Arabidopsis thaliana: one gene and its partner. The protein of the gene in region 1 interacts with the protein of each later gene in a pairwise test. Each region holds a gene or a part of one and is shown on either strand. Other genes may lie near its edges.

Evidence for each region.
Region 2: the proteins of AT1G76110 (region 1) and BZS1 interact in a two-hybrid assay, tested with the Arabidopsis thaliana proteins (one large-scale study listed by BioGRID).

The regions. Positions count from the first base shown.
Region 1 is NC_003070.9:28,554,102-28,561,024, forward strand, and holds AT1G76110 (HMG (high mobility group) box protein with ARID/BRIGHT DNA-binding domain-containing protein), read right to left. Parts: upstream 3,515-6,923; 5' UTR 3,365-3,514; coding exon 3,186-3,364; intron 3,092-3,185; coding exon 3,013-3,091; intron 2,903-3,012; coding exon 2,740-2,902; intron 2,283-2,739; coding exon 2,184-2,282; intron 1,778-2,183; coding exon 1,395-1,777; intron 1,300-1,394; coding exon 1,186-1,299; 3' UTR 933-1,185; downstream 1-932. Other genes in the region: PETE1 (plastocyanin 1), read right to left, coding at 116-739; AT1G76120 (Pseudouridine synthase family protein), read right to left, coding at 4,712-5,036, 5,127-6,193. UniProt on the Arabidopsis thaliana protein: Binds preferentially DNA with A/T-rich content. Required for karyogamy during female gametophyte development, when the two polar nuclei fuse to form the diploid central cell nucleus.
Region 2 is NC_003075.7:18,202,028-18,208,950, reverse strand, and holds BZS1 (B-box zinc finger family protein), read left to right. Parts: upstream 1-2,266; 5' UTR 2,267-2,529; coding exon 2,530-2,715; intron 2,716-3,347; coding exon 3,348-3,890; 3' UTR 3,891-4,316; downstream 4,317-6,923. Other genes in the region: AT4G39060 (LOW protein: coatomer subunit alpha-1-like protein), read right to left, coding at 4,317-4,991, 5,062-5,207, 5,297-5,579, 6,342-6,344. UniProt on the Arabidopsis thaliana protein: Acts as a positive regulator of seedling photomorphogenesis. Plays a negative role in brassinosteroid responses.

The DNA of each region.
Region 1 (6,923 bases):
TTATGATAGTAAACATTATATGATCCTCTTTATCAATCCAACATTCTCTTCCAAATTAGATTTATAAATCATGAATATGTAAGCTCCTACACGAACAAGAGAATATCTAGACAATTTACTTGACGGTGAGTTTCCCAACCATACCAGCACCCTGGTGCGGCGCACAATAGAAACCGTAAGAGCCTGGCTCTGTCAAAGTAACCTCGTAAGTCTCCCCTGCACCATTTAGAAGCGCTGTCTCATCCATCGAGATCTTGCTTGCGTCCACACCACTAGGGATCTCGTCTTCGTCGAACACCACGTTATGTGGGAACCCTGCGTTGTTCTTGAACACGATCTTCTCTCCTTTAGCCACCGTGAATTCAGATGGTACGAAAGCAAGGGAACCGTCGTCGGATCCTAAAAGAACCTCCATGGCCATCGCATTTCCAGCTAAAACGATCGAAGCTGCTGTTGCCACTGCGATGACACCGAAATCCTTCAAAGAGGACTTCAAAGCGAGCTTAGGTGGCGCCCTGGTGGCGGAAGTGGATCTACTGATGGTGGATAATGTCTTAGGTTTTGAGCTGACGGCGAGCTTTAGGCCGGTGAAAGAAGGGATGGTGACGGTAGCTGATGTAATTGCGGCCATTTTCTTTACTTTTTGGGGTGTTTTGTTGATCACTTGTAAAGAAATGAAAACATTATGGGATTTTTGATAAGATTTGAAGAGAAAATAAAGCGAGAGAGTTATCTGCATGTGATTGGTTACCCTAGATGTTTTGTGAGGTGACGTGGCATTGTTTGATAGCTTTGTCTAACGTTGCATAAGTAGATAAGGAGACTTTGAACATTCCAAGTTTTCATTAGTATTTCTTGTTCTTGTGGTATTTATATTACTTAGTTACTAACCAACGAATCGAATGCTAAATTGCTAATATAACCTAAACCTCTTTTTTAACATGCAACATAAACCTCTTGTTTAACAGGAAAGGTTTACGAAAAAGGATTAATACATTAGAACATCTAAAATTCTTAAATAAATAAAGACTCTTCAAGTTTGGCAAGTCTAGCCTCTCACTGAGCCTAGTTAAGCAAGCATGGACAACTACAATAAGCTAGAAAATAAAAGAAACGGCGAGGCGTCCAATCTTAAAAGAGAGAAACGACCTACAACAAAACGACTTGCCGTTTTAACTAAATCACCTAAAAAGCCTTGCCGTTTGTCATGTCACCATCCCTAAGTCTCAACGTTTCTCTGTACTCATTCAACTCCCTCTGATACCTTTCCTTATCCTTCAATCCAATGTCTTGATAAACCTACAAGCAATAACCAAAACTCGGTTCAGTTATCGATTTACTACAAATCTAATTTCATCACTAAATCGGTAACGGTTTAAAAGATAATTTGTTACCATTCGTTCTTCGGTAGAGAGATTGCTCCACGATTCTCCGATAAGTTTCGTAAACTCTCTCTCCTTGTTGGGATAAAGTGATTTGAGCTTGCAATGTTTCTCAGCAAAGAAGAAATTGTAACCGCTCCGGTTCGGTTTCGGGTAATTCGGATCTTCTCTGCGTCTGCTTCTTCGTCTTTTACCTAAACGACGCCGTCTCCTCCCAGTTTCAACATAAGGTACAACGGCATTGTTTAGAACAGCGGTTGGAGATGATGATGGGCCGGGCTGGGCCGAATGATAAAGAACGCCGTTAAGAATCTCTGAGCCCAACTTAACTTTTACCAGATAACCACAATCGAATTTGCCTTCTATTGTACCTATGGCTGTGAAACTCGACGAACCTGTGCCATGTATTAAATATCACATGTATAATCATAAGCAAACCTAGATACATTATCTTATAAAAAATTTCTATGTGAACCAAATCTTATAGCTACTGGTCTGGTCCACGTCATCGGTTTATTATCCAACAAAATCCAAATAGATTTGCATCAAACATAATGACAGTGGGACCATTATGATTCTACACTATATTTGAAAAGTATTGCGATAAACACTAAGGTTTTTATGATAAGTACATAAAGCTAACTAGACAATTATCATACGAAATTAAACTGTGCCCCTAAATATAAGTTTCACATATACATAATCATTAACTAAGACCTTAATCATTTTTTGTCATAAAATGATGATATAAAGCATAGAACAAAGACAAGTATATACTAGATATTGATAATACGTACGAACCTTGAGAAGGAGGATGAGTATTATGATATCTTATACTCGGAGGAGTATATTCGACGAGCGCCATTTCTTTGCTCGTTGAGGGATTTGCATGAAATGTAGCTGCAAAAATTGATTATCTTATATGTAACATAAATAATCGTCGCTAAATAACTTATAGTTCCAAGACATAAACAAAATTACAATAACCATATAGATAGAAATGATGACAATAATTCGGGTATATACAATCGTTGAACTCCCACGTTTGTAGTAAGAATGTGTCCCACGATTGAACCCATGACTTCACATAATTGAAAAGTTATTCTTATTATTTTATTATAGATTCAAGCCTTTCAGACTATCGTTAATGAGTAACAACGAATTGAACTTTCTAGTCCTAGGGCATTAAAGACAATATGGGAACCATCTTATGATTCATTGATTAGCATTTATCAAACGGTTGAATTAAAGATTCTCAACAGAAACAAATCTATGATAATTGAAGAATATAATGAAATGTATACTATATATATTTAAAAGTAATCAATTGAAGAAGGTTTGAGAAAAAAAAACAAACCTATGGGATGAAGAAGAGGACCACGAGCAGTGAAGAGATGAACTTGTTCGTAATGGAAGAGAAGATTGAGATAATGTTTCCTTAAGACAAACGAAGCACTTGTTGTTGTCGCAGAGAATCTAAACACTCCTCCAACTTCCCTCCATTTTTTCTCTACGACTACCTATCAATTCAACATGCATTTTCAAAACAACACAACATATAAGAAACGATAATAAATTACCATAAAGTAAAAAAATATCTGTATTGAAAAAGAAAACAAAAAGTGTTGACCTTTTCGTAACCTCCCCTCCTCGTGACTTCCACATACAAAACATGCAAATCTAGTTCTTTTCCTCCAATCACAGGAATCCTTGTTTATATCACACAAAAATAATAAAATAAGATAGATGAAATGACGAAAACTAAATTTATTAAGTAAGAAGAAGAGAAAGAATAATGGTTACATGAACTTAGTGGACATAATTGAGTGAAACCGCCTGAGAGTATCCCAGAAGACAGAAGAATCCTTGACGACAACTTCATGTAAAGCCAATGGTTCTGGATACTCTTTAATCTTCGCCGGCGAAGTCGCCATCATTTCTACCGTCGCTTGAGACGGTGTCGATTCGTTGTCCGATGACATCGCTATAGAGAGACTTTTAGTAGAGACAGATATCTTTTTTTTGTTGGGGAGTTTTTTTTTTTTTGTCTGGTCTCTCTTTTTTGGGTTTTGGTTTAAGGAAAGAAGAGAAAGATAACGATTCAAGATAAGATTTGTGATTAAATCAGAGAGATATAGAGATAGAAAATTAAATTATTTATTTTTGCTACGGATTTAAAAGTAACGGACGTGAGGATTTGTCATTTTCTTTCTTTTTGTGAGTTTTAATACATACCACATAGATATAAGGAAATTTAAAATTTTAAACTTTATAATTGTGTATATATTTGCTTTCAAATTATTGTTTTTATTTTCGAGGCGTTTTGAGTGATGTTGCTTTGTAATTTTTCTGATACTACTAATACTGTATTAATTACTTTTTCACTGTATTAATTAAAAAGTAATTATTGCACCCCACCTACTTTAGTTTTTATGCTTACGAGCAGTCGAAATATGGTCACATCTATTTCTTTCCAACATAATCAATCATTATTTTATTTTTGAAATTTCTTAAGTCTAATTTATATGAAAACATCGATAATATCTAAAAATCGGACTGTCTTGCTTTTTTTCTTTACCGGTTTAGCATATTAGATTCTTTCACTTTTATTTTAGTGTTATATATATAGTGAGTATTCAAAAAATAAGAGCGAAAGTGAAGAATTTGTAACACGATCTATGCACTTTATACACTAATGATACTTGACAATTTTTAGGTGAGGAATTTAAAACTCGTACGATCTTTATATATCAAAGTTTTTGGGCATTGAAAAACCTCTGAAAATTAAAAATATGTCACTGTTGAGTATTGACATGCATTGGTAAGCGAAAGTTAAAGTAGTACTTATTAGTGCAGACGGAGATAGGAGTCACACCCTAAAACTCATTGGGTCAATCGAAGTCTGACATTTTATTTACCCTAAATAACAATTAAAATAGTAAAAATGACAAGAAAATTAAATAGAAAAAGTTATGGGCCTTATGCTTCGGAGAGGTTGACGTGCGATTAGGGATTTTATATATGGTTCTGCTCATATGTAACGTCACGTCCCTCTGCCTGTAGATTCGGTTCCACGTTTCTTCCTTATAATCATTTTTTACCGATTCTTATTCGATAAACATTTGTTCAAATAAGATTCTTCTCTCTTCCATAAATAAAGAAAATCTTTTATATGACGACGACGTTGGAGGATAACAAATCAATTCATTAGTGTCACCTTACAACACAAAAATATACTAATTTGATTAAAAAGTTACAAAAATGGTGGGATTAACCAACAATAACAAAAACAATGTCAAAATCTTCAAACTAAGCTTCCATCATTTTGCTTAGAGACTATGACTTGCTCTTTCATCAATTTTCTTATGAACAAGAACTTGGTCTGTGTTTTGTCCACAGCTGCCAAAGTTTAGGTCTGGATAGTTTCTATAGTTCAAGGAATGTAACCAAAGAGCCATATTTCCGTATTTTCGCTCTGTAGCGCCGATATGAGAATAGATATGCTTCAATTTGAATGCTTCAGCTTCTTCTTTGTATGCTTCCATGGACACTTCTTCATGACTGTCTTCAAAGTTTCTGTTATAAGACGTGAAGAAGCATTCGTCCAGATAAAGTCCAACTTCTGGCGCCATTGGTACAGTTATATTCACATCCCTGGTTACATAATTTCCGAACTGAGTATCAAAACAAACAAAACTATAGACATTGCAAAGCTTCAAAACCAAAGAAAAAGGAGAAGCTTACTTGCTGAAAGCACTTTGGATAAGTGATTCAGAAGCACAATTCCGCATGATTGCAACAGCAAGACCCATCATCTTCCGAATCTGATGAAGCATAAAGCTTTTGCCTAAGACTTCACACTTGATAAAGTCAATCCCATCAAGATTAATCACAGTATTAGCAGTGAAGGAGATGATTTGACGATTCGCAGTCGGATCATCTGCTTTTGTTCTTGTAGTGAAGTTATGGAAATTATATGATCCAACATAACAACTTAGTATTCTACTGAACCTTTCCTTTTCCTTTTCACCATAACAAAACTTGCTCTTTACCTTAGTCTCTGATGAATTTGTATTCAATTTACAACTGTCTTCTTGTATCCTACCTACTTCAACATCTACTGAGCATAAGCCAGCTAAATTAGAACTCAAAGCTTCAATCTTGATGTCACTTCTTAATGCACTAGAGTTGTTCGACGAAATGTCTGACTGAAAATCCAATGATTTAGTCCCAAAGTTGGTACCTTTCCATTTACCCACAAGACCTGGAGGAATCTTACGACCTCTCTCTGAGCACTCAAAGCACTTAACATATTCCTCTCCCGGACCCAAACTAGCCATTACTGTTTCTCTATCACGATGCGAGATTGGATCAAGAGCAAACACTGGAAGCAGATACACATACCTTCTTCGATCGCAAAACTTCTTGGAGCTAAACGACGGCGTTACATGCTTGTAACCGAAGATTCTAATCTGATTAGGGAGATTTGAATTGAGACGATTCACGAATCCAAGTGGATCAACGATAAAGCGACCTGAAACTACTTGTCCAACAGCACTAACTCCTTTATCTGTCCGTGCAGATCGTGCGAAATCGTATAGTTTTGGCTTGCCTCTAATGGACTCCGGTACAGCTCCGGCATGAAACAAAGCTTCTTCGAGCTCGCCTTCAATGGTTTTCGCGCCGGGATTCTTTTGCATTCCTTGGTATCCTACACCACAAAACGCGAAGATTATAGCAACTTTTTGAGGCTCCGTGACACCTCCGTCGCAGGACAAGTCTATTTCCTCATCGGTGGTAGTTGTCAACATATTGAGCTACTTCTGATCTGATTCTCAATCAGGAACCTCGAACCGGGGGAAATCTCTCGGTTTTCAAACTCCTGAGCCTCCATTATAGTAACAAGAGTTCATCGAACTCTCTATTTTCCAGCTTTCCTCTGCAACAACGTTAATGGCTACCGCACAAAAGTCGAAACCCTTGAAGACGACTGAGGTATGCTTCTCTACGACGGCGTTTTTGATATCAGACCGCTCTTTAACTGGGCCTATAATTTTGTTTTATATATGGGCTTATTAGTCTCAAGCCCAAATGTTTCTCTTATAATTCAAGTCAAATTTGAAAAAGTCAACTATATCCATTGAGCACACATCTTTGGAAATACAGTCTGTTCTAGTGGGCAAAAGAAAGAGAGAAAATTATAGCCGTTCTAATTGTATCAAAGTATGAAACTTTCAAATCTCCTTGAGGTATAGGCGTTGTTGTCTTGCTGATGGTACACGCGTCGTATGAAAAAGCGTACACAAATCTTATTTCAATTGAAGTTATCGACTTTATTCTAACAGTCAACGCGTGTCTAGATTTTTCTTCAGGTGGACGAAGAAGAAAAAAAAAAACTACTTTGGCAAATTATGAATCTTCGTTTCTCGATTGAGTTTTAAAACCCTAAAAATTCAAAAGAGAGAAAAAAAGACATAGCTTTTAATCTCTGAGATTCTCTGCTCAAGTTGTTTACAGCTTTCTACTTTTTGAAGAAGGTAT
Region 2 (6,923 bases), on another chromosome or scaffold:
TTGAAGACAGAAATAAAAGCTAAAGTGGGATTGTACGTATTAATATACACTGAGATCTACGGGATTTGGACGGACATGATTGAAAGAAGCAATAAACATGTCAGGAAATGGTCCACGAACCCATTGTTGGATTTAAGACAAAGACAAAGACAAACGATATAATTAATACTCCGCTCACAAAAATTGACGCACCGACTGATCAAAAATATGAAAATTAATGTGACAATTCGAGATTAAACTTGGTAACAAGAAAATAGATATCGAAATCGAAGAATAGTCAATTAGCAGAGCAAATTAGCATTATTTAACACAAAACAAGGACAGTGATATATCGATGAATGATTGGATTTTGTTAGGTTACACAAAAATATGGAAACAAATTTGAAATTAATTGGAGTCCATCGATGAATAATTGATGGTAGTAGTTAATTGGTAAAGGTCCCATGCATACTATTTTATAAGAAGGAATGTCTAAAAAGTGCACGAAGAACCTTTTCAAAAAGTCCAGTAGTACATCCATGTGACTCAAGATCTACAAATATTATATAAAAAATTTGATCTCTTTTAAAATCACGCAAAGAACCTTTTCTTTTTTTTCTTTGAAAACGATTTGTTACCTGGTTTGTTTGTTTTTCTTTATGTACATCAAATGCAAACCAAAAGACGATATGATTCCACGCAGCAGCTTGGATAAAAAAAAAAAAAAATGAGATCAACAATATCGTTTTTTAGTACCAAGTCCTGACGAAGTTACTTCGTTGAAACCCAAACTCAAAAATTCTTAAAAATTTTCTTCAAAGAGTCAGTCAAAATGAATGTATAGATTTTTAATGCAAGAAGGGAAGTTGACAAAAAAAAAATAAGTAACGAGGGGAAAGATTCGAGAATCGAGAGAGATCATCCATATCTTCTTCCTCTAAAAGTGTTTTTTGTCGTCTTCTTCCTCATAAATTATATATTATCTAAAATTATTATTCTTCAAAAGATCAGATCCACTCTACTTATTTTATATCAAAAGTATTCAGCGTTTATTATACCAAAAAAAAACTCATTTAAATTCGAACAATATGGCCGACATGACCGCAAAGCTTATATTAATACGAGTATGTTTGGTTATTGGGATTACTACGAGAACATTTAAGAAATTTCATTCATTAAAAAGATACATGAACAAGCGATGATCATGTCTAGCCTGTTAATACAATTAGATCATGTCTAAATCTCAATTCTCAACGGTCATTAAGGCCACTTTATAACGATTACAGCATATTGTACCATTTTCAATCAAGTTAGACAGAACCGATACAAACCACCGGAATAGAAACTGAACCAAAATCTGTAAGAATAAATTGAAGTTCATAAAGCTATGGTTTTTAAATAAGCTATGGTTGGTTAGGTTTATACCGAAACCAATATCAAATACATGGCAGTGTTTGTTGAGTGTATGAAGAAGATTGGAAAATGGATTTGCCATTCAATAATTTATACTATTTGTTCAACTAATACACATAAAATCTATATAAAAAAAAAGAGCGGCGATATTTATTTATTGAGGTAAAAAAAAAAAAAAAAGGAAGTAGATATACACATGGATGATGGAAGACAAAAGCTGGCATGAAGAGCTGGCCATTTCTCAAAGTTCCCCCACCTTTTCCATTTCTTTAATTAGTTTTTATTTCGATTTTTTTGTCGTTTCTATTAATTAGATTAACTAGCATCTGACTAAAAAGATGAATTTTAGACCAAAAAGATTGTACTATTAAATTCCACTTTTGCACTTTTTCTTCCATAAGAGCCTTAAAAGTTCCCACTTCTAGGCCTCTTTACCTATTTCGGTAATATAAAAGAAACAATTAAACTGATTCATCATTTTTGTTTTTCCTTACATTCGTATAAATTACATAATATTTTTCTAAAGCATTAAGAGTTTAAGACTCATTTAAACTAAAGAAACAAATGAGCTTAACTACCAATTAATAGTTCTCAGTGTTATTAAATGAAACAAAAATTAACTAACTTAATCATACTAGTACTACCGTCAAGTTCCTATCAATTATAATATCTGCCTCCTTCTATGAAACCGAAATTTAATGTAATTTGTGATTAAAACGTATACTAATTGACTTACATACCCGGTATGCTTTTGTTTAAGTTCCCTGAATTCTAAACCAGATCAAACCGGGTGTGAAACCAAAACCAAAACAAGTCAATTTGGGGGCATTGAAAGCAAAGGAGAGAGTAGCTATCAAATCAAGAAAATGAGAGGAAGGAGTTAAAAAAGACAAAGGAAACCTAAGCTGCTTATCTATAAAGCCAACACATTATTCTTACCCTTTTGCCCACACTTATACCCCATCAACCTCTACATACACTCACCCACATGAGTGTCTCTACATAAACACTACTATATAGTACTGGTCCAAAGGTACAAGTTGAGGGAGAGAGTGAGAAGAAGCAATTTTGTTATATTCAAGAAACAATAAAAAATAAAGTTATTTTTGTAATACAGAGAGGAAAGAAAATAGAAAGATGAAGATTTGGTGTGCTGTTTGTGATAAAGAAGAAGCTTCGGTGTTTTGTTGTGCGGATGAAGCAGCTCTTTGTAATGGTTGCGATCGCCATGTTCATTTCGCCAATAAACTAGCCGGGAAACATCTCCGGTTCTCTCTCACTTCTCCTACTTTCAAAGATGCTCCTCTTTGTGATATTTGCGGGGTACGTAACAACAAAATTTAACACTTCTCTCTTTTTTTTTGCCTTTCTTGATAGAATTATAATCTTCACTTGGAAAATTTGTGAGCTTTTAGATATGTTATAGTATTGATGGAAATCTGGTTTCATGAACGGATGTTTCGGGTGACCTGAGTCACTTTTTTTTTCTTCTTTCTTTCCGAGATTTGTTTGTTGGTTGGTGAGAAAATGATTATTTGGCAACAAGTTTACTTCCTTTCCTAGCAAATTTGAGGTTTCACACAATTTTTGACGAGGAATTTTATGGCCACGACCAAATATTACTTTTCTCAAAAAGAGAACAGAGATTGAGCTTACCAAACACCTTGGTGATTTATTTGGTTACACACTAATCAAACTTAAGATATTAACCAATTAAATCGAGTTATTAGTTATTACGATATTAAAATACTTTCTTCTTTGGGAAGGTAAGCCGTGGAGAAAAGGATATTTCTTTTTGCTGTTCATTAAATAAAATAAAACAATAAAATGGAATGTTTTTTGTTTGAAAAGGTCAAATCTAGCAGATAAGTATGTTTTAAAATAGATGGATACAAAACAAGAGTCTTCTTGATTATCTATTATTAAATGGTACTAAACCTTTATACATATGACAGGAGAGGCGTGCATTATTATTTTGCCAAGAAGACAGAGCAATACTATGCAGAGAATGTGACATTCCAATACATCAAGCTAATGAGCACACTAAGAAACACAATAGATTCCTCCTTACCGGCGTTAAGATCTCTGCCTCCCCGTCAGCCTACCCAAGAGCCTCCAATTCCAACTCTGCTGCTGCATTTGGTCGAGCCAAAACCCGACCAAAATCAGTATCGAGCGAGGTCCCGAGCTCGGCCTCCAATGAGGTATTTACGAGCTCTTCTTCGACGACCACGAGCAATTGCTATTATGGGATAGAAGAAAACTACCATCACGTGAGCGATTCGGGGTCGGGATCGGGTTGTACAGGTAGTATATCCGAGTATTTGATGGAGACATTACCGGGTTGGAGAGTGGAGGATTTGCTTGAACACCCTTCTTGTGTCTCCTATGAGGATAACATTATTACTAATAACAATAACAGTGAGTCTTATAGGGTTTATGATGGTTCTTCACAATTCCATCATCAAGGGTTTTGGGATCACAAACCCTTCTCTTGAACTTATTTCTGTCGAATTATAGTCTTTTTTTTATAAGTTGGGGTTTGTAATCATGAATCCAAACCAACTTGTTGTTTTCGTTTTTTAGTATTGTTGTTTCTATATTTATCTCACATTATGATTTTAAATTTATTTTGTCAACCAATCCTCTTTTAATCTTAGTTTCTTTTTCTTTGAATTTAATTTCAGGTATTTGTTGTATTGATATCTATACACTGTAACAGATGAAGAAGATCTGGATACGTATTTGAAATCGATATGAATCAATGACATTCCGTAAGGGATTAGCCGAAATTTTAGTCAAACAGTGCCTGGCACCACTTTGAGAAAACAGAGCTCCAACACTAAAAACTGTGAACTTTTTAAAAATAAAATCGTAAACTAATACAATGTAGTATCATAACTTTTGGATTAAAAAACACCAGACTAGGTGTGTGTTTGTGTATTGAAAAACAAAACTGGAAAGCATATTGTTGAGTATGTCGAGAATTTCACACAATCCCAGAGTGTATAGGACACAGGGACTGTAAGAACAACATCAGCCCACTCAATCTGACCCGAAACTTCATCATTGAGACTCTTGTCAAGCAAAATCACAGCACACCAAATTTTCTTGGTTTGATCAAGAGGAGACAAGGCAGGACTGTCCCAAAAGAGTAGAAGCTTTCCACCATAAGTACAAAATTCAGTATCATTTATAACGTACGCATCAAGTCCAGTCAAACCGTTGACCAATCTCCACTCTTCTGACGACTCTTCTGACGACGTTGTTTCCATCCACCAACATCTTTTATCCGCATAAGTGTATTCTACATTCTCTATGACACAATATTTCTCCACCAAGCTTGAGTGATCCTTGACAACTTCCCATTTTTTTTCTTTTAAAAGGTAAACGAAGTCCTTCTTCTTGTTCTTGCTCTCTACATTCTTCTTCTTCTTCTTGCTCTCCACATTCTTCTTCTTGATCGTCACACAAATATTTCCATCCATCGGTAAGATCTTTTTATTTAAAGAGAGCCGGACCTCAGGGGCCAGGGTCCGGTAAAGGTTCCCAAGTTTGAGTCTTTGGGTCGAAAACCTCAGCCCAATTCGTTGATTCATCTGGTCGACAACCTCCCATTACATATATTTTCTCACCGAGAACGCATACATGGGGTTCCATGCGACCCACCATCATGCTAGGGGCTTTACGACCGTTGCCAGTCAGCTCATTATGGACCCACATCGCATGATATATATGGCTGCCGACCGTGTAAATTTCTGAGCCAACCTCTGCGCATATTAAATTTGGTGGGAAAGGAGTATAGGAAGATGGAACTGGTACCAATAAATTTCTAGTAGACTTTTCTTGAATGTTGCAATATTGGTTAAGGGTTTGATCATCAGGTTTTATCCAGAGACTAAACCAGATGGGACAACGTTTGTTGGGCGGTTGTAGGCCGAGATAAACACATTCTTCTTGAGTTTGAAGTTCGCTTCGTACCTCATAGAGTAAGTCTGAGAGGACCAACGAGCGGAAGCTCTTGGAGACAAGAGAGAGCTTTGGGTAGTACGATATCGATACGAGCCAAGCTGCTCAAAACAATATCCTCCGGTAGTGATAAAAACGAAGACGGAGGCCGTGGAGGATGCTTTGACGTCTCGTCCGGTGTTCCTATATTGGACTCCATAGCGGCGGTTTACATGTAGCTAAATTGTTGTTAAGAAAATACACGACTAGGGTTCTTTAATAATAAAACCTATATATAAAATAGAAATAAGGGATATATATATATATATATATATAATTCTCGAAATAGAAAAACTATTTTTTTAAAGTATATTTATATATACTAATCATGAATATATATATATATATATATATATATATATTTTTTCTTAACTTTTCTTTTTGGTAACTATATTAGGTATATATTTGATTTATTAGATCTTGACATGTATTAAAAACTTCTAATCAAATTAACATAAATATTAACTAATAATTACAATGTGTGTTGAAAATCAAAGAAACGATTACGACTGAAAATGAAAGTGGACTCTACTCTCTCGCTCTACTCAGAGCAATAACAAATAAAAATAGTAAGAACAACTATATATGATTGAGTAAGATTGTGCTAGTGGCATATTTTTCATTCTGTTCCGAGCATTATGCTAATAGATGACTAGGTTTGACTTTTATAGATTTGTGTTACTTTACAAGGCTTGTTTTGTTGATGTTTCCATCTCTTTCAACAATCGCTCTAAATTTTAAACATCATATAAATTACAGAAGAAACATATTTATTCTTGTAACGGTAACTTAATTTGACTTTTTGTTACCTTGATCAATTTCCTTTTCTTCGCAAAACATAATAAAGGAGACAATTTCCTTTTTTTTCAATGGAGCGTTTGCTGATAAATACTCCAACTCTCGTTTCTTCTTCTTCGTTGAGAAATCAAAAACCAAAATACCATCTTTGATCTTCTTCTTCTTCTTCTTCTTCTTCTTCTTCTTTCTTTTTTTACCTGCAATTTCCCTGCGAGACTGATCACTGATGTGCTTTCCTTCTCTCGTGACAACAATCTTCAATCAATCGAGTTCACTTTTTAGTTCGTGACTCCCTAATTTCACACGATCAAAGATCTCGCCACCGAAACGCTTTCACCCAAGGATTCTTTCAACGGCGGCGAAGGATATGATTACACGACGGAGAAGGACGATGGCCAAGAGAGGGATAGTGAAATTGACGACCAGTTGGCAGATTCTTTGGCTTTAAAACTACAATTCGACTGCGGAGGAAGCAGACGAATTTGTGTTTCATCGATCGATCCATAATCATGATCACCAGCGAGAACCAAGGTTTGTGCTTTCCTAATTTTCTTTTTCTGTAATAAAAGATTTTTACTTTTAAAAGATTTTTTTTATGTTTAATTTTATTTATTTTTATACTGAATCTACATAAAGAGATGTAAATAAAAACTAACCGGATTTTGGATCCAGCTTCGGTCGTTAGTGATTTCAAATATTCAACTTGTTTTCATATCATCTTTATA